Cricetulus griseus: one gene and its partner. The protein of the gene in region 2 interacts with the protein of the main gene of each other region in a pairwise test. Links are inferred from orthologs where the notes say so. Each region holds a gene or a part of one and is shown on either strand. Other genes may lie near its edges.

Evidence for each region.
Region 1: the proteins of Trim42 (region 2) and kelch-like protein 38 interact in binary tests that used the Homo sapiens proteins (3 or more experiments, as listed by UniProt). The two-hybrid records come from large-scale screens. The link is inferred for Cricetulus griseus from reciprocal best matches to the Homo sapiens genes TRIM42 and KLHL38.

Annotation. Positions count from the first base shown.
Region 1 is NC_048603.1:29,294,448-29,304,375, reverse strand, and holds the start of kelch-like protein 38, read right to left. Parts: upstream 6,195-9,928; 5' UTR 5,418-6,194; intron 4,782-5,417; 5' UTR 4,781-4,781; coding exon 3,431-4,780; intron 1-3,430.
Region 2 is NC_048597.1:205,881,054-205,890,982, forward strand, and holds the start of Trim42 (tripartite motif-containing protein 42), read right to left. Parts: upstream 6,582-9,929; coding exon 6,241-6,581; intron 2,952-6,240; coding exon 2,254-2,951; intron 333-2,253; coding exon 1-332.

The DNA of each region.
Region 1 (9,928 bases), on a different chromosome or scaffold from region 2:
ATTTGCTCTCAGTCCTCACAGGACTTCAGAGAGACCGCAGCAAGGTAACAAAGGATGTGCTTGACCCGCTCAGGAAGTGATGCTGCCTCATGGTACAGGATTTGTTTTATGTCCTCTAGAAGCAGAGTCAGGACAAAGGCCAGGTAGAAAGGGACCATCAGTGTCCACCTTGTCTAGTGACACCATTGAAGGATGGTCTGGAAGACTCCTCTGCTTCCGCCTGAAAACTCAGCCTCCTCCATCAAGTGAGTCCCAGCACTCATTTTAAAGTGTGTTTAAGCCAGTAGAATGCCCACTTGAAAGCAAATGCTAGACGGTAAGAAAAGCATGCATGTGAACGCTTCCACCTGAAGGCGAGGATGGAATTATGTCACTAGACCCCAGGTAAATGATAAATGGGTGTTTATTGGGGGACAATTATACAGAATAATACAAAGAACCATTGGAGTTTCCCTGCTCTGCCTACCGGATCCGCTGACCCACCAGAAAAGTGTGGGCCAAGGAAAGCCAGCTCAAGCTCCTCTCTTTCTGCTTCTGTCCCACTGAAACCACATCCAAAGGGGTGTGGCCAACGTTACAGGCCCACAGACCAGCCGCCTACATCCACCCACTCCTGGCTTTCCTTGGCTGTACCACAAAAGGGCCACTCACAAGTCCGGCTAGTTTGGCTTTGTGAGGGTCTTGGTTTGGTTGCACTATGCATTTCCTGATCTGTTAGCTGGAAGTTTATTCGAGCTTTGCATTTTATTCTCAGGAAGTTGGTGACAGTCTTGTGGCGGCGTGAAGTCACCGGCCTAGCTGTTGATTCTATTTGGGCAAACAGTCGAGAGAGGTGGGCGGGGCCCTGGTGGGTCTCTCCTGAGGATCACAGTGGAGTCCCCCCCAGCTCCAGTCAATGGGTGGACTGGGGGTGGGGCTTCTGGAAGAGTGAGGCTCTTCTTGATGCTCACGGGGAGTAAGGGCTGCAGAAAGAAGGTGCGGAGGTCTAAGCCATCAGCACCCTGTGTCCGGGCTTCTGGGAGCATCTTCCGGCTCTCTTCCCCGGGTGTTCTCCATTCCCTCCTCTAGAAGCATCTAGATCAGTGGTTCTCAACGTTCCTGAGTCTTCAACTCTTTAAGACAGTTCTTCGTGTTGTGGCGACCCCCAACCATACAATTATTCCACTGCTAACACGTAAGTGTAATTTTGCTACTGGAATGGATCATAATGTAAACATCAGACATGTAGGACACCTGATATGTACCTTCTGTGAAGGGTCATTCGGCCCCTCAAGAGGGGTCACGACCCACAGGTAGAGGGCGCTGAAACGCAAACCTGATGCTCTCTCTGCCCCCTCGCTCTCGGGTCACCACCCCAGTTTCCTGACAAGATACACAAAGCCCAGCCGCAGCAGCTTCTTCTCCACAAGCCATTCTGGAATGTTCCATAATTTTGGTAGGAGCGCCTTGGAGGCAGGATCTGGGTGGAGGAGGCTGCTGGGGCAGCGTAAGAAGGGGATGATGGAGACTACACGGGGCTGACACCTGCTCCCTCCCCAGCTACCGTCTGGCAAGCAGCCTCTCTCCTCCTCACTCCGCTGGCGACTGTACGTCACGCTGTCACTGTCACGCTCTCCGCTCCGCAGGCAGAGCGCTTGCCTCCTCTTTTCTTCTGAGCCTCTGTACAAAGGACCCAGGTCCGTCTCTCCCTCTGCAGACAGTTCTGCCGTCTTCAGCTGTCAGCTCTTCGCTCCCAGCCAGGCCCCCCGCTGCTTGCTCGTTTTTAGCATCTTAGCATCCATTCTGACGCCTCCCTCCTCTTTCACCCTCTCACGGAGTTTTCTCCAAATTCCTCTGGACCTTCATGCTCTTTGCCATTCCCTCTGGTCCCATCTAGGACACCCCTTAAGCTCTCAGCACTTGGATCTTCAGATTCCGAATTGCAGCTGTCATGTAAACTCCTGGAGGGTTAGATGTAATTTTCTGTTTCCTCTCAGGTCATTGACAGCGGACAGACAGAGTCCACCCCTGGTGTTGCCTAAATAGTAAGGGAAGCTTACCACGTGCGGCACAGTCATTAAAGCTTGCACGGAGCATGGACACTCGACGCTCTGAAGTTGGCCCTTTTCAAACACACATCTCAGGGCCTGTGCTAGTGAAATGAATTCCTCCTGTCATTTCAGGCACATGGTCCCAGCCCCAGTCATGCCTTAGAGGCTCCTGGAGACCTCTGTAAAGCACAGATGTCATGATTCCATGCGAGGAGGGTAGCCTTGCAGTGGGGGTTAACGGCACCACGAGCGTTCTATAGCACTGTGCTGTCTTGTTTTAAATATGTTTCAGCATGAACTTCTAGGTTATTTCCCTTCAAGTGAAGACAAGCTCTTTGCGGATGGGGTGCACCTGACATGACTTTGCATTAGTCTCACAAGAAAAATCCATAAGCCAAACACCACTGAAAATTTCCTGCTTCTCTTCATGGCCTGAGAAAGGCAAATGCGTGCATGCTATGTGTGTGTGTGCTATGTGTGTGTGCCTGTGTGTATGTGTGTGCCTGTCTGGGCATGTGTATACACTCATACACACACACGAATACATGCATTTGTTCTCAGATGAATATACTATCATATGTGGCATATATAATACACATGTATGCATGCGTGCATATGTGCACAAGTGTGTATTCTATTCTGTGTCTGCACGCATACATATGTACATAGGTGTATATGTGCACAAGTGTGTATTCTATTCTATGTCTGCATGCATACATATGTACATAGGTGTATATGTTCACACGTGTGCATAGATATGTGTATGCCACGATAAATAAGAGTGCATGTATGGGTACACACACAAATGCATGCATGTATGTACACGGTACACAAGAATGCATATATGCACATATTTATGACATGTATGTGCTATGATACGTGTTCACACAAATGCATGTACACACAAGTGCACACATACACACGCATGTGTACAGACGTGTGCGTAATATGGGTGCATGCATGTGCCCATGCATGTAGACTTGCATATGTATGTGTGCATGTGTTGGTCATGATATGTTCATGTCTGCATATGTATGGCGTTATACACGCACATGTGTATGCGAATATGTCACATAATCATGTGTGCACATACATGTATTTATGTGTTTATACTGTTAGCATGTTCACGTGAGTGAATGTACACCTGACTGAATGCATGCACACACGTGTGCATATATGTTCACTCAGTTATACATGTGCCTGTATGAGTGTGTCTGTATATAATTATGCGTGTGCTATGTGTATACGTGTGTATGTGAATGTTTACATGGCTGCAGATATGCATGTGTATATGTGTGTGTGTATATGCTATTGTATTAGGCATGTATATTTATGTATGTGTGTGTGCGCACACACAAGCACACTTGGTCCTAGCGTGGAGAGAAGGACCGGCTGGTTACCTGGACGAGGCGCACAGGGTTCTGCATGATGTCCTCACCCCCAAAAAGATAGAGCCTTTGGTCCTTCACGGCAACCGCAGGGTGGAGCACGGCCACTGGCATGTCAGCCATGCTCTCCCAGACATCACAGACGCTGTCATACCTCTCCATGGAACCCAGGAGCTGCTGCCCTTCTCCGGTGCCCCCGATGGAGAAGATGAAATTCCGGTGGGCGGCGCTTCTGTGAGAGTAGCGGGCTGCCAGCATGGGCTCCCCGCGTCTCCACTGGTTGAGTTTCAGAGAGAAGACATACACGCTGGCACTGACGGCACTCTTGCCCTCCCTCACAGCCACGCCCCCGAGCACGTAGACGCTGCGGTGCAAGGTGACAGCCGAGGCCTTGTACAACCGCGCGGGGAGTTTGGCCAGGCTCTGCCACTGGCCAGTGTGTACACTGTAGAGCAAGACATCCCTGGTGGTCTGCTGGTTGTCCTTCTGGCCCCCCAGGACAAGGAGGCAGTCTTGGTAGCAGCTCCTCGGGGGTTCGTGCCACACGAGTTTGCAGTCCTGGGCACTGGGGCTGTACAAAGAGAACATCTGCTTCCTGGCCGCCTCCAGGATGGCCCGGCACGCGGGCGACGACTGGAGGACAGCGTCGTTGGCAATGAAATGGTGAAAGAAGGCAGGATGTATGTACTGCAGCCGGACTTGCTGCAGAAGTTCCTGCATGTAGGGCCATCGGGCCTGGAGGTCATGCTTGACCCAAGCCATGAGGGCCTCAAACACCTTTTCCTCCTCGCCGCAGAGCCTGTCATCTCCTAGGTAGTCTCTCAACTCCATGGCACAGAGCTCCTTCAGGTCAGCCGACGCTGCTACCTCTGGGAAGCAAGTCAGGGCCACCTCCCTGGCTCTCTTCTTAAGGCTTTCACAGTTTAAGATTTCCGCGAGTCTGACCAGGCCCAGGCAGTTGTTGGGGGCCAGCTGGCTCTGCAGGTATGATGAGCAGGCCTCGAACACCCTGGGGTACTGCAGCATGGCGGCTGCCTCCATCAGGGGGAGGACGTTGGCAGCTGTGATGTGCACCTCTCCCGTGTACACATACGTGACGACCTGCTCTAGAGTGCTGGAGTTGATGCCCTTCAGCCACACTTTGGCCTCCGTGCTCTCCCGGAAGTGGCTGCAGAACATGGCCTTGAAGTAGGGGCTGCTGGAGGCCAGCACATTGCGGTGGCAAGGGACCTCCCAGGCTCCGGAGCAGATGCTCACATCGGTCAGGGTCTTGCTCTGCCTTAAGTCATTGAGCTGTCTCAACAAGTCAGAGGAGAAGTTGTCGTCTTTGAAGACAACCCCATCTGGTAGCTCCTCATCCATCCTACAAAGAAGGAGGGAAGCCCCAAATGGAAGCAAGGTCAAGGCTTTCTGGCATCGTGTACTAGAGGGGTTAGCTGTGGGGGCTCCAAGCCTCGTTCATTGTATCTATTTACCAAGTCAATGGGTTCACAAACAGAGCACACTGAAGAGGGAAGAGGAAACCACCCTCATCGCAGACCACAAAGTGATCTACTTCAGGCTGTGAACAGCCTCAGAGATAAAAGACATGTAGCATCTCCAGCTAATCTTAGGCCTCTTCCAACCAAAGTTGATGGTCAGAGACTCACATATTAGCCTGGCACAAAAATAAACAAACAAACAAAAAAAGCAGTCCATGCATTTGACAAGTAATGTATGCCTTTGTCCAGATCATTAGCAGATTTGCCAGTAAACTTGTCTACAAATCTTTCTTGGAGTTAGTTATTCCCTAAGGCTGACATTCTGGGGGTGTGGTCTTCTGGTCACTGGACAGAAGTGAGGGATTACAGCGGGCTGTGGCCAGATCTAGAGAGAAGACCGCATGGTCTCTGGGTTTTGTTTTAAAGATGTAATTAGTAGAGAACACCAAACACTTCTGTGGCTCCTTGGTGACATGGACAGTCTGCCTGCTGAGGAATGACAAGTTAGGGACACCTACCTTGTTTTGCTGCAGTGACATCCACGGATGCCGGGTTTGTCTTGTCCCCTCAGAAGGTTTCTACCTTAGTCTTGGAATAAAACCATAAACCCCAGGCCTTTCCTTCTGTTGGCAAATTCTCTGTCCTAGATGAGTTCTGGGTTTGTTTATGCTGCAGGCACTTTCACAGCTCCTAGAGCTCGGTGCAAGGGCTGCCGGGCAGGCAGACAGTGTATACATTCCAAGCCTAAGAATAGCTGCATATGTACTTTCCAGTGTTATGACATGTGACTTTCCAGTTGCCTTTTGCAGCCACCCGAGGGCCTGCAGGGCTGCGCATGCCTGCATGGCTTGTTTCCTTGGCGAGTGTTTACATCGGCATAAATAGAAAGGGAGGGACGGATTCTCTGACCAAGGCTTTGCTGTCCATTTGGATGCATCCCGAGTCCCTTGTCCTAAGAGAGCCTTGGAACTCTAGCTGTTTGTAAACAGGTTGCTGTGACCTGTGCGGAATCGCTGCAGACAGACAGCTCTGGGTCACAGTAGAGGTGGCAGGTGGTCATAGGAGAGGCAGAAAATGAACAGAACCCAGGGTGCTATTCCGTAGGGGTCCGTCCGCCACCTTCTGCCTGGCAGGACTGTGGTGAGGGCTGTGGTTCCCTTTCAGGCCCCAAGGCAAAGCAATCAATCCAGAGCAAGGGCTGGTGTTTTGTTTTGTTTCTGTTTTTGAATTTGTCAAGCATTCTGGAGTTTTTAGACTTGGGAAAGTCCTGGCTCTAATTGAGCCTTCTCTCTCTCTCTCTCTCTCTCTCTCTCTCTCTCTCTCTCTCTCTCTCTGTGTGTGTGTGTGTGTGTGTGTGTGTGTGTGTGTGTGTTTGTCCTTCTGTCTCCTGGTACAGCTGTGTACTCTGGCTTGTAATGTCCATCTGGACATCTGCAGCTGCTCTTCACCTGGGCTCTCTTAGACCTCAGGCTTCCTTCTCTGTCTCCTCTCACCACAGAGAAGTGAGTTAGAAGCAGGAGGCAGGGCACATAGGTCCAGGGAGAAGGAGAACAAAGGAGGATAGGATGAGGAGAAGAGGAGAGAAGGAGGAAGGGATGGAGAAAGAAGGAAGGGAAAGAAAGCCAGAGGGAGGGGGGAGGGAGGGAGGAGGGAGAGAAGGTGGAGGAGGAAGGGGAGGAGGAAGGGGAGGAGGAGGGGGTATGGAGGAAGGGTAAAGAGGAGGAAGGGAGGGAGGGAAAAGGAGGAAGAGAAGACAAGTTGGAGGGAGACAGAGAGGTGAAAGGAAGGTGAGGAGGCCGGGGAGAAAGATCAAAGAGGAGCAGGAGGAGGAAAAGGCAACGCGGAGGGAGAGGCTGGGAAGAAGAGGAGGAGGCCAGGAAGGGAGAAGAGACTGGTGGTGGTGTGGGCTAAGGACCCAGCTTTGGTCTCTGGAAGCTGAAACAATGGAAACACAACTTCCCCAGGGCTTGGAATGCCTAAGTCATGGTTCTTCCGGCTGCTGAGCAAGCCGAGCATGTTCTGGTGGTGGTGATGGGCGGCGGGGGGGGGGGGGGGTTTGCAGGGCAGCCAGGCCCACAGCGGTGAGCTTCAGCACGCTGGAAGGGTGGCGGGCCACCCCTCCCTTCACTGCCGTACGCTATTGCTCTAGCCATGAGTGGCAGTGAAGCCTAACTTCCTCTCCCCACGCCGCTCAGACTCTTGGAGCAGCCTCTCCTGCTGGCTTAGCCCTTGTTTGTAGCCCCTCCACAGCCACTACCCCTGCCATGTTGCCATAGGCGACAAGTCAGAAGCTGCCAGGCTCCGAGCCACGGCTCTGCTGGCTGTCCATGTCAAGAGCTCTTCTTAGCGGGAGTCAGGTTGGTCTCTGGCTCTTCCCAGAACCACACTGTCTCCAGGAGACAACTTACAGATCCATGCACATGTCTGTGAGTGTCTCTGTACGGGGGGCCTGGCTTTTGGGGTGCTCAGCGCAGGGTAGAAGGGGTGTTCTCACTCAGTTATAGGCCATGCCCTCAAAGAATTCACGTGGTCAAGGTCACGACGCACATCCAATGCGTGGCATTGGGACCAGGGGTCTAGAGGCAGAAGTAGTAATAGCAGAGAGAGAGCCTGTGCCTAAGGGATCAGAGAGAGATTGGAGCTGAGGGCGGGGCTTGTGGATGCTGGCCACTCCCCCTGCTTCTGAGCCTTGGTGATGGTGCAGTTGCATCCCGAAAAGGGGCCTGGTGGCCCTCTGTTCTATACTAGGTGTTTTCATGTGCATTCTTCTCTTAGCCCCCTCTTCTGTTTTCACTGTCCCCATTCATCTTTCAAACTGTAGTCTGCGTGGCAGCTTTTCTGAAAGTCTTCCGTGCCCTTCCTCACCTGTCTGCACCGTTCTCATGCCCTCTGCCCCGTGGAGCAGGATGTGCCCCAGGCTTCACGGCAGTCTGCTGGTCCACTCGTGCCTGTCCCATCAGTGTGGAGTCTCTGAAGGCAGGAAGTCTGGTCTCTCTCCCTCTCCCTCTCCGCAGAGTCCAGGGCTGGATGTGGCGGCCTCTTTGTCCTTTCCGCTTACCTCTTCACCGTCTTCCTTCTCCATGTCTTCTTTCTCAGCTCCTCTCTCTCTCTCTCTCTCTCTCTCTCTCTCTCTCTCTCTCTCTCTCTCTCTCTCTCTCTCTCTTCTTCTTCTTCTTCTTCTTCTTCTTCTTCTTCTTCTTCTTCTTCTTCTTCTTCTTCCTCTTGCTTTCTTCCCCTTCTTTCTTTGTCCATCCCTCCCTTCTTCTCTTCACCCCTCCTCTATCATCTAGCGGGCGGGTTCTGTTCAGTTCCGGAACTGAGCAGAACTGAACAGAAGCAGAATGGAGAAGGGGGGCGGGGAGAGGGGAGCTCCCTGGGGGGTCCCATCAGCTTTGTGAGAGTATGATGAGGGCTACCACTTGCAGCTTGTGTGTAGACAGCAACGTGACCCCAGTGTCCCTCCCTTTAATTAAACCCAACAATGTCAATAATGCGATAAGCTGAAAAGCCAAATAAATAGCTTTGTATAATAGAGTGAAAGTTGAGTGTGGGCTAAGGACCCAGCTTTGGTCTTTGGAAGCTGAAACAATGGAAACACAACTTCCCCAGGGCTTGGAATGCCTAAGTCATGGTTCTTCCAGCTGCTGTGCAAGCCGAGCATGTTCTGAAGGCAAAGAGCCGAATGAATTTACTTAGCACCTGTCCCTGGAAGGCTCCTTGGATTTTCCCTCCATCTTCTAATTAGACCTTCCAGAACCAGGTCTGTCAGGGGATTGGATGAGCTGGGTAGTGTCTGGCCAGCTTCAATAAATCTTTTAGTATCTAATGCTCAGAAAAAGCAGGCTCCATTCTGTTGGATTGGCCAAGTAGAATTCAGGAAAAGATACAGAGCTGAGCTGTTTAACACACACACACACACACACACACACACACACACACACACACACGTCTCTCCCACCCACGAGTAATCTCAGCCAGCTTGTTCATACAGCAGCTTCTCTCTGACGGTTTTTTTTTTCCTTAAATTTCCTTAAGAAGATATCTTAGTTTAGGGTTTGAGCATATGGTGACCCAAAATAAATGAGGACACCCAGCTCTATCTATGTCCTTCCTTTTGAGGAAAGCCAGTGTCACAAGGAATCGATTTTGGGAACAGGAGGGCTGGGGACAATCTTGGCATCCTTCTCTCGGTGCAATCTTGGGCATACTATTCATCTTCTTCCAGCCTTGACTTCCCGTGTGTTAAACGGGGCTCGCCATCCCTGCCACATTTTAGTAACGTGTGTGTAGTGCTGGCAATGGACCTGACCTAATTGTCATTATCGTATTGCTCCTTAGACAGTCTCATCAGAGTCTGGCAGAGCACAGTGTCTGGTTTGCAGAGTCTGATTTGGTTTCATGTTCGCTTTAGCTGCTTGTTTCAGTCCCGAGCTAAGAACTGAGGTGCTCCTAACCCTCTAGAGACCCAGCCTTGGGGGTCTTGGAGTCTACTCAGAGTTCTGCATGTCCTTGGGCAAGTCACAAATCCCTGTCTACATGTCCCCATCTATCCTTGAAGTTATGAACCCTGACCCTTCCGGCTGCCCCCGGGTGGGTTGGGTATCTATCCTCTGCTAGGTGAGGTACAGCAAGGAACGGTGAAAGGCCGAGCCTCTGTGATCAGAGTTCTGGCTCATCTCTGACCCAAAGCCAAGTATAGAGTGGACCGTCAGCCAGTGCCTTTTGTAACTTTGCCCTTTTAAGTGAATCCAGGAAGCATGTTCCTGGTAGAATTCTGTACTGATTCTGGAGGCCGTTCTTATCCGTATGTGCAGGGACTGGACTCTTATGGGAACGGTAGGCCAGTGTGTCAGCAGTAGGCTTGACTAGTAGGACCAAGAACCCACCAAGCAAGTACATACATGTACACACATGACTACAGGGATATGCATACATGTGCATACATGTGCATATGTACACACACACATGCCCTGGGTGTGCACCCCGCCTGCCTTTAGAGAACCCTGGTGGCAGGGGCTTCAAGGATAGA
Region 2 (9,929 bases):
GATGCCCTCCTCGATCTGGTCTACCAGGATCTTAGCAGACTGTAGGAAAGCCACCTGTCCGGTTTCCTTCAGTGCTTCCTTGGAGTAGGCGATCAGGCCGTCCATTTCATTCACTTTCATAGTAGTGATGTTCACGTATTTCTCAATCTCCTTTTGCCTGGACACTTCCAGATTCTCTATCTGCTCCATGATGAGTTTCTCTTTCTCTTGAAGAATGGCTCGCAGTTTAAGGAAGCCACTCCTGATCTCCTTCCGCTTTGCTTCCTTGTCTGCTTTAAAGCTGCTTTTTAAGATGTTGAATTCCATCAGGTCGTTATCAATTTCATATCGGACTGAAAAACAAGTTGGCTACTGTGAAAATTTTCATCTTCCCACATGCCAAAGCCATATTAAACTGGAGCAAATTTCTGGACTCAAAGGAATGAATGGAGAGAGAGGAAGGGAAGACACTTGGAGGTGGGCTGGCACAGGCTAGAACAGGCTTTTGAAATAAAGTTCCCTCTAGTCTTCCTCCCCATGCCCCCAGATGGAACTCTCCCCTGCAATATTTCTCTTACTTGTAGCAGAGAAAGAAGTAAATTTCTGATGACTGCTGAATATTGCCTTCAAACAAATATTGATCTAGAGTTCTTCAGCATAGACAGTAGGTCACTCCTTATAGATATGGACTGTAAAGTGGCGCTACTGTGCCCCCTATCTGCCCAGCATTCTATGTTTAGAGTGTCTTGTCACTGTTTAGCACTGGTGTTGGAGACTGGGTGGGTGTGCAGCTCACTAGCTGCCTTGTGCTGACCACTTTAAGCACAGTTGTCTTATCCATGGAGGAGATTTTAGCATCTGCACTGTATGATTATTGAAACTAGACATGGTATTCTCCAAAAGTATCCTGTCTAATTTTATGTCAGCTTGACACAACCTGGGGTCACCTGGGAAAAAGGAATCTTAATAGAGAAAAATGAGTCCATCATATTGGCTGGTAGGCAAGTCTCAAGGCATTTTCTTGATTGATGTGGGAGGGCTCTCGCTCACTGTGGGTGGCCCTGGCTGATATAAAATAGGAGGTTGAGAAAGCCATGGATGAACAAGCCATGAGCAGCATTCCTCCATGGCTTTCATTTCAATGCATGCTTCCAAGTTCCTGCCTTAAGGTCTTGCCATGACTTCCTTCAATGACAGATTTTGATGAGGAAGTGTATGATTAAATAAATCCTTTCCTCCCCAAGTTATTTTTGCTCATGGTGTTTCATCACAGCAATGGAAAATTGCCTGGTGGACAAAGAAAGTTCCCAGACAGCCAGAGCTGATACATAGAGAAACCCTGTCTCAGAAAACAGAAACAAACAAATGGCAAAGGTTTATATGATCCTCTATAGAAGGTGCCATTTCCCTAAGTGGATTTCTAGATCTAACTGGAGTCAAAGATATGTCTGACCTGATGGTGACACATTCAGAAATTATGAACCCTTTACTGAAGTTTATGAAATATTATTGTACTTGGCTATGATATAAAAACCAGGGTCGGTTCTTTTATAGAAATTGTGTTATACAGCGGATATGAACAACTGTGAACATGCAGACAGAAGGAAAATAGAGGCTGGGCAGAGTATTGTTGGCTGTTTTGGAATTTTCCTGTTACTATGTATCCATTAGCAGCTCTCTGAATTCCTTGTCTACACCTTTGACAGAAAGTTCACGGGAGATACCTTCAATTGAGATGACTCTCAGGGTTAGATTAATTATTCCTGCTGGAAACCGCAAGGTGGGAGGTAAAAATGACCTTCATATTCAGTACCAAACAGAACTTCAGGCTGTGACTGGAGAAAACTCATTTTCCCCCTTTGGGAAATGAAGCCCAAGTTCAGGAAATTGTGACAAAGATTAGAGGAGCTTTATGTGCTTATTCTACACAGAGTGCCCCCCCCCATCCCAGGGGTGGTGGCAAGAGGGGTGAGAACATGCTTCCTAAGACTAGCTCTACTCATAACAACCCAATGAGGGAGCTACCATTATCCTTACTATTTTATAGATGAAAGCACTGAGCCACAAAGACACAGTGACTTAGTGACACTAAATGGCTGGTGGTAGTTGTCATGGATGCTATGACAGTGACTTTCCGGCCATGTCAGGGTCTCCCAGTGTCTGGGTTTTTCCACCAGGTGGAGTAAGACTCCCTTACAGGTGCCCCACACCAACTTCTGGACTTTTCCATAGCTGAGAGTTACCCTGAAGGGGAAGTGGGAAACCGACCAGGACCTGCTTTGAACTTGGCGATGGCGCTGAAGAGGGCTGCAGACCTCTCGGAGCAGGCATCTATGAGGCTGACCGTGTCATGACCGTTGTGGAAAGCGATCTTGCAGAAGGCGCAGAGCAGCTGGTTGTCACTGCGACAGTACTCGTTGATGCGACTGGACGGGTGGTGGATGCAAATCTTCTCGTCCTGGTCCTCGGCGCTGGTGTCCACAAAGACATGGTCCTGCATGGCCACATCCGAGTGGAAGGCCTTGAGGCATTCGTTGCACAGGTTGAGGCGGCAGGTGATACAGCGCTTGTAGGCGATGCGACGGGTCCGGCACACCTGGCAGAGGATGGGCCCTGAGGATCGGTCGAAGCGCCACTTGAGGTAGCCATGCTGCTGCATATAGCGTTTGGTGAGGCGCCCGCGCAGATAGTTTTCTGGAAGGTGCGTCTGGTGGCTGTAGGGCATGCAGTGCGAGCGGTTGCACATGGGGCAGATGAGGATAAAGAAATTCTCGGTGACCTCAGCGTGTTTTTGCAGCTGCCGCAGACACTTCTCACACAGGCTGTGGTTGCACGGCAGCATGAAGGAGTGCAGGCGCAGCCGGTTGCACATGGGGCAGGTGAGATGGCTCACCAAGTTGTTGCTGGGGGTCATGGACTTCAACTCCTCCAACTGTGTCTCACTGCTCCCTATGCGAAGGGCGGTCTTGGAGCTGAAAAGGAAAAGCAAACACAGGCTTCAGGAACGCACTCAAGAATTCCAGAGGGATCTATCCAGGGAGGTGGTCCACTGGAATGGTGATGAAATGGCTCCTGCTAGGTGCCTGCCTTCTTGGCTTGCCTCCACTATCTTAGAAAATAAACTCAGTAAGGCATTTGGGACCTGCTGCTGGTACCCAAGGTGTGGCATTTTTTAAAGATGATTAAGGCTGAATTTAATGGCTGTTTGGACTGAGTACAGCCCCTGGGCTCAGCCAGAGTCCTGCAGTGCTAATTTTAATTGTGAGGGAAAGAAAAACAGCACATCAGCAGGGGTTTGTTGTGGTCAGCTGGGCCTGGATGTTCCACAGCATATTAGTAGCCGCCACAATACATCAACAGGAGACAGGGCCACAGTGACTTTGATGGATCGGAGCAGAAGGGATACCACTGCATGATGCTGGAACTCAGACCAGAACATTGTCCAAATCACCAATAAGACCTCCTACCCTCCTGTGCAGGGGGAATGGGAGTGATTAGGCCTGCTCTTTCTCTTTCCAGAAGCAGATTGGGGTTCCATATGTTCTAGCTGCCTTCTAGACAAGAGTAAGAGAACCAACAGATTGACTCTACTCTTACTAACATGAGCGCTAGCCTGTGATGGCCTGTGATGGCTTCTTACCTTGGTATTTCACACTGGCATGGAATGGAACATGTTCCCACTTGATACAATGAATCAACAAATCCAATCTTGCCCAGTTATAGGCATGCTTTTGGTGGCTGTGCCTGGCATGTGGTGACATTACCGTTCCTGTTGCATGTGGGATGGGACATAGGGAGGTAGTAAATGACCTTACTAAAACAAGACAATCTCTGAGCTGAGCCAAGAACCCGAGAGCTGACTTTCAGACCATCAGTAATACACAAGGGTCTGCCTCTGGGAAACGGACATGTGACAGAGTATGGAAGTTTTAGAGTTGCTGGTTTAGGGAGTTTCTGAATCTCTTTTATCCTCAGTTCCCCAACTGGAAATCAAAGATGACAGCACTTCCTTGGGAGTTTATGAAGTATACCTGAGATGATCCATTGGAAGTGTGGATGTGGTCCCTGCAATCCCTCTCCTGTGCTATTCACCAGCTAATGGCCACAGTAGAGGAGGAAACCACAATAGGAGGAAATAGTATTCAAGCCCATGAACGCCCACACACGCATCTACTGTTGTGAGTTACAGGTCTTTATTTGTCTAATATCTGAGGTCAGTTTTATGTATTCAGTGGTAAGATCTACTAATGGCGGGAGGCTGCACTTGTGGAATTCAAGTGCATGCTCTGAGAAGCTGCAGTCAGTGTAAAAGCAGTTAGGGAAGTAAGTGACTTGGCTGTGATGAACACATTGTGGCTATTCCTACCATTTCCCTGTGCATAACAAGGTACTGGTCTTGGTGTTGGGCTGTGTCCTCTTCTGTCCTAGTCTTCCTGATTTCCCTTTGTCTCCTCCTCCTCTTTCTTGGCCAAGAAACCTGTGTCTCAGAGCACTGGCAGTCAAAGGTGCTTCCCAAGCATATTGTCCTAGGGTGGCTCTGAGTCACAGAGTGCCCCCGTATATCCTTAGACATCCAGACAGCCAACTCAGCCCTGAGGGCTTGGATGCTGAGATGCAGGCTGGCAGCCTCACAATTTTCAGCCTTGTTTTCTCTTGACTTCCCAGCCTCCTGCTTGTTCCTGGAAGGGTCACCTGGAGTCACGAGTTGATTGGACATGTGGTAGCTGCATGGACTTCTTTGATAAAAATGTAAGACTCAGAATCAGTATATAGTAAATGGAGAGAGTGTAAGAGATCAGAAAGAGAGAGAGAAGGGAGAGCAAGTAGGACTACGAGACACCTGTTAATGGTGCAAGGGGCTGCAGTAATTGTGAGAAAGGGAGTGAGGAAAAGAATGAAGCTAGCAAGGCTAAGTTAGACCAGAGTGAGGGAGAAATGAGGATGCTGTGCCGGCAAGGGGTTTGGAGACCAGGAGAGCAGAGTTGGAAGGTAAGTACCAGTGAATCAGAGCTGACTCCCTGGCACTTGCATCGCATCCCTGCCCACACTCAAACAGAATGAAGACCCCCAAGTAGGCTTCTGGGCCCCTAGATCCTATGCCAAAGCAGTCACTAAGCCCAGCATCTTTGCCTTCTTGCTGAAGTGCTCAGCCACTGCTTCTCTGCATCAGTCCCTCCATCCTGAGTGCTGCCCTGTTCTGGCATCTGCCTTCTAAGCCTCCAGGTCCCATCCTCAACTCCCCCAGTCTTCCCATTAGAATCACCTGATAGGGATAGAGTGCTTACAATTTTGAAGCCCAAGTTTTACCCCAATATCAGTGAAAAATAGTATGTTGAGGAGTGGAGTCCAAACATGATGAGTGTTTTGAAAGATCCCAAGGGGATTTTCATGCACTTCCAAGTTTGGGAGCCACTGATGCCTAAGGCGTCTGCCTAAAGCACAAATTTCAGTCCCACTCCTAAGGACTGAGCTGTGATCACCCCTCCTCTGTGAAATCTCCTCTTGCTCCTAAGTCCCCTGACATGTGACATAGAAAGAATAGTATGCTAGATGTTGGGCTTGCTACCTTACTGAGTGGTTGAGAACCTGAGTGTCAGGACTTTGGATAGGAAAGAAGGGGTGACCAGCAGTTCAAGTACCTCTGTAGGTTATTAGGGTCAAAAGTGGTACCTAGAAGTTCTTACTTCTCAGGTAAATGTTATAGTTCATAGGAGGGAGATGGAGAACAGTTGGTATTTTCTTTTTGTATCCTATAACAGGCTACAGAACATACAGCATATCATGGTCTACATTTTGTAATATGGATTTTTTTTTTAATTAGAGACCATTGACCTAGCTCTGGATTCAAGTAATGACTCTACCCCTTCCTAGCTGTGTGGCTCTGGGCAACTTAGCATCTCCCAGTTAAATATCCTCCTGGGTCCAGTGGGCACAGAATGAGGGAGAGGAATGGTTACATAAGCAGTTATACACCTATCACTTGTTTGCAAGATGAGATGTTTGGGGTCAAAGGGTGCAGCATGAATTCGCATCCGTGATGGAGTTTGGGTGTGGGACTTGAGGTCTATACCACCAGTGGATGCTCACTTTGCTCGTAACTGCTACAAAATTACCATTGATTTTTTTTTCTCTCTCTCCCAGGTAGAGTGCACTCTAGGAAACACTGGCTTGTTCTGGGGTCCCTACAGATAGCATGAGTTCCCCAGGGTTTTTGTTGTTGTTTCTTCCAATGTAACCACAGGATGGATGGCCAGCACTTACGAGATACGGAGGGTCCGAAGGCGACCCCTTCTGAATGTGATGATGGCATTGTGGCAGCAGCGGCTCTCATAGTAGTAGCATTTCATATTGGTGTTGGATGTGCAGCAGCACTTACAGTTGGGGTCATTGGCCCAGGAGCAGCAACACCAGTGACAATTGGGGTTCTCCGCACAGGTGCAGTGGCAGAATTGGCAGTTCCGCTCATCCTTGTAGGGACAGGGGAAGCAGGTACAGTTCCGCTCTGCGGTGAAGATGAACTTGCAGCACAGACAGGAGAATAGCCGAGGGCAGCATCTCTGCCAGGTGCAGCATGGAGAACAAACACACATAGCCGACTCCATGGCTCTAAGATCCTTGGTACTAGGCCTCTAGAGTTTTGACAACTTCCTCTACCAGATTCCTGAGGTCACTTCTCCCTCAGAGGGATCCTTGCCACCTCTAGTGATGCTGGCAGTTTGGGAGTTGTGGCAGGAAGTTGGCCAGTTTAGGAGGCCTTCACAGGTGATGTCCCTCCTAGGAAGCTTCTGAGCTGGCTTTAACCTATTTCAGCCTGTGGACATTTGCTTATGTCATAATCCCTGACTCCCACCATGCCTTAACATGCTAGGTAAGAGGAGGACACCCAGGGGGCAGTATCCAGTATGTGAGTGCATACTGGAAGTTTTCATGCGAGCAACTCCACAGGAATGGTGGCACCCTGAACCTCTTGGAGACATTAGCGGTCATTTGTCACCTTTCAAGTTCTCACACAGATTTCGGCTGTGGCTTTTCCTTGGTAGGTAGGTACTTTTCCTGATATTTGGGTAAGTTGACTTCAGGATTTATCTTTATTGACTGAAAGACCAGGGTCTGACTATTAGAAATCCAGGCCGACATGGTTTTTCTCTTCCATCAACAGAACTCTTTGACAAGCCAAGCACAATATTTACAAATAATGGCAGTGTCACGATCACTCTAAAAAGAAGGAACCGAAGGGACAGAGATGTGGGGTCCCTCAGGAGCTCCCTTCTTTCAGTGGACCCTGCTCATGTTCCTGAGGCATTACACTTAAATCACTCAGATTTGGGTCTTAGGCTTTGTTTCCTCTCCCCTGGACCCTCTGTCCCACTCCATTCCACCCAAGCCCACCCCACTGTATCCATTTATCAAGAGGCTAGGTTACACAATCATTAGCTACTCTGTCAATGTGTACCCAGGAGCCCCAGAAACAGGGCCCTATAGATGGGGGAGAATTTTGCTTTCCTCTTGGTGCAGCTTGCAAAGATGAAAGGAGCAGAGGTTTCATGGCCACACCATCCTAGAACAGGAACACTGTCTCATTAGATTTCCAAAAGATAGCAGAAGTGAGAGCTGAATTTGGCTGCGGGAGTTTTAGTGAATAATTTATTATCTCTTCCCATGATTATCACCTTTGTAATAGGAAAGAACACTCACTGAGTGCTAACTGGGCCAGCCTCACACAGAGCTTAGATCTCTCTGCAGTTGAAAATCCTGAATCCTAGGGTATGCTTTATCTGTTGATAGATCTTATTAAATTATTACTCCAAAGCATACTTCAGATTACACCAGCACCGGGAGTAGGTGCATGACACCTCTGTGTTTGCCCAAATTCAGTGTTGTCAATAAGCTGCCGACACCAGGGGTGCAGAGATCTGAGTTCCATTCACAGGCCATTTCAACATTGGTCTCTATAAGGCTTCCTTCTTTCTCTTTTTAAAAACATTGAGATGTAATTCACTCACCATGAAAGTGAACAAGTCAATGCCTTTTGGTGTATTCATTAAATTACATTAAATTCATTATCTAATCCCAAAACATGTCTGTCTCCCCCAAAAGACACTCATGAGAAGTCATTTCCTCCTCTATTCCCCCAGCCCTCATTAAACAATCTTTCTGATTTATGCATTTGCCTATTCTACAAATGGAATAATATGGAGTTCTTTTGTGTCTTGTTTCTTAATACATTTTGGTTCATGTTGAACCACACATGAGATTTCAGTGTGTGTGTGTGTGTGTGTGTGTGTGTGTGCGTGGGCAAACACACGTGTGTGTGAATACATGTGTTTGTTGGGTGTGCCTGCCTGCATGTGCATATATAGAGGTTAGAGAGTGCTCTTAGCCACAGCCAGACACGCTTATTCTTGTAGTGGCTAATCTTTTTGCAGAGACTCATAACTGGTCAAAACGCTGCGAATATGTGAGTCTGAGTGGTCAGCCATAGAGGGGTCACCCACATCAACTCCCCACAACTTAAAGCTTGGGAACATTGGAGGAGAGTGGACATGAAGAATGTAAGAGCTGGATGATGGCTAAGAGAACTACAAAATGGTAGCTACAAAAGCTGAGATGACCTGTACAGATCAAACCACTACAATTTCCAGCATTTTGGGGGGACTGACTCTGAAGTGCTACCCTTAGCTGAGGAGTTTTGACAGGGATAGTGTGTGCCCATGTCCTGGTGGATGCTCCTCCATCCATATGTTTATGGACAGCACTAATTGGGCTTAATTGTTTATTAGACAAAAACTGTAAGAGGACATGCAGATGAGAGGGAGAGCCCTCGGGGAGTCTTGGTGGCAGTTGGAGGTAGGCAGTGGGGGGTAGATATGATCAAAATTATGAAACTTTTAAAGAATAGTGAGATTAGACAATCCCATGTGATCTGGCCAATTATATAGACTATCAAATGAAGGGAGCTCCATAATTCTTTTTATGTGACCAAAATGAATTCATTAAACCTAAACTGACTCACACAAAAAAATGGAGTTAAGAAAAGGCAAACTGAGCCCATCTAATTTGATGGCACACAAATAAAAGTTTTTAATAAAGTATCCGGAAGATTGCAATAACACATTTAAAAAGTCATGCAAACTTATCTTTTGCCAGTTGTTCTAACAGGACTCTTCTCACAATCTTTTAGTCACCTGCATGTGTGCAGAAGACACATTTGGCATAAAATGAGTGTGTGTGTTAAAACACCAAATACTATGGGGGGTTTATATATAGCTACTTTTTCAAAAAAGACCAAGTCTTGCTGGGTGGCCTAGGCTAACACAGGCTAACAATTCTCTTGCCTCAGCTTCTCCGTGGGTGGTAGTGCAAATCTGATTTAGAGTTGACTTCTTAATGTAATGAAATTTAAATATTTCAGCCTCAAAGCCAGTACAATGTTAGAAAATACCCAGGGGTTCCTGGGAAATGCAAGATAAAAGGCAGTGATACCTAATATCCACTACTACTCACTCTGATTTGGGGAGTTCTGCACAGCAACCCAAGTAGGAGACAGGGCTTACAGAAAACAACTAGGTACCGCATGAAGAGCAAAATCAGACAAGCCACACTACCTCAGACAAAAATACTGTTCGGGCAAGGGAAAAAACGCAGATAAGGCAGTCTATAGAACCAGAGGAAAACACGTGCAAAACATATATCTGAGAAATAGTTTGTATCTCTAAGGCATAAGGAATTTCTACAGCTCAATAGTAAAAAGCCCCCCAGTTTTGTTTTTGTTTTTGAGACAGGGTTTCTCTATATAGCTCTAGCTGTCCTGGAACTCACTCTCTAGACATAGCATGCCTTGAACTCACAGAAATCCACCTATCTGCCTACCTGAGTGCTGGGATTAAAGGTGTACACTATCATGGCCTGGTCCACATAACTTTTTAAGATAAACAACTTTTCACCCCAAA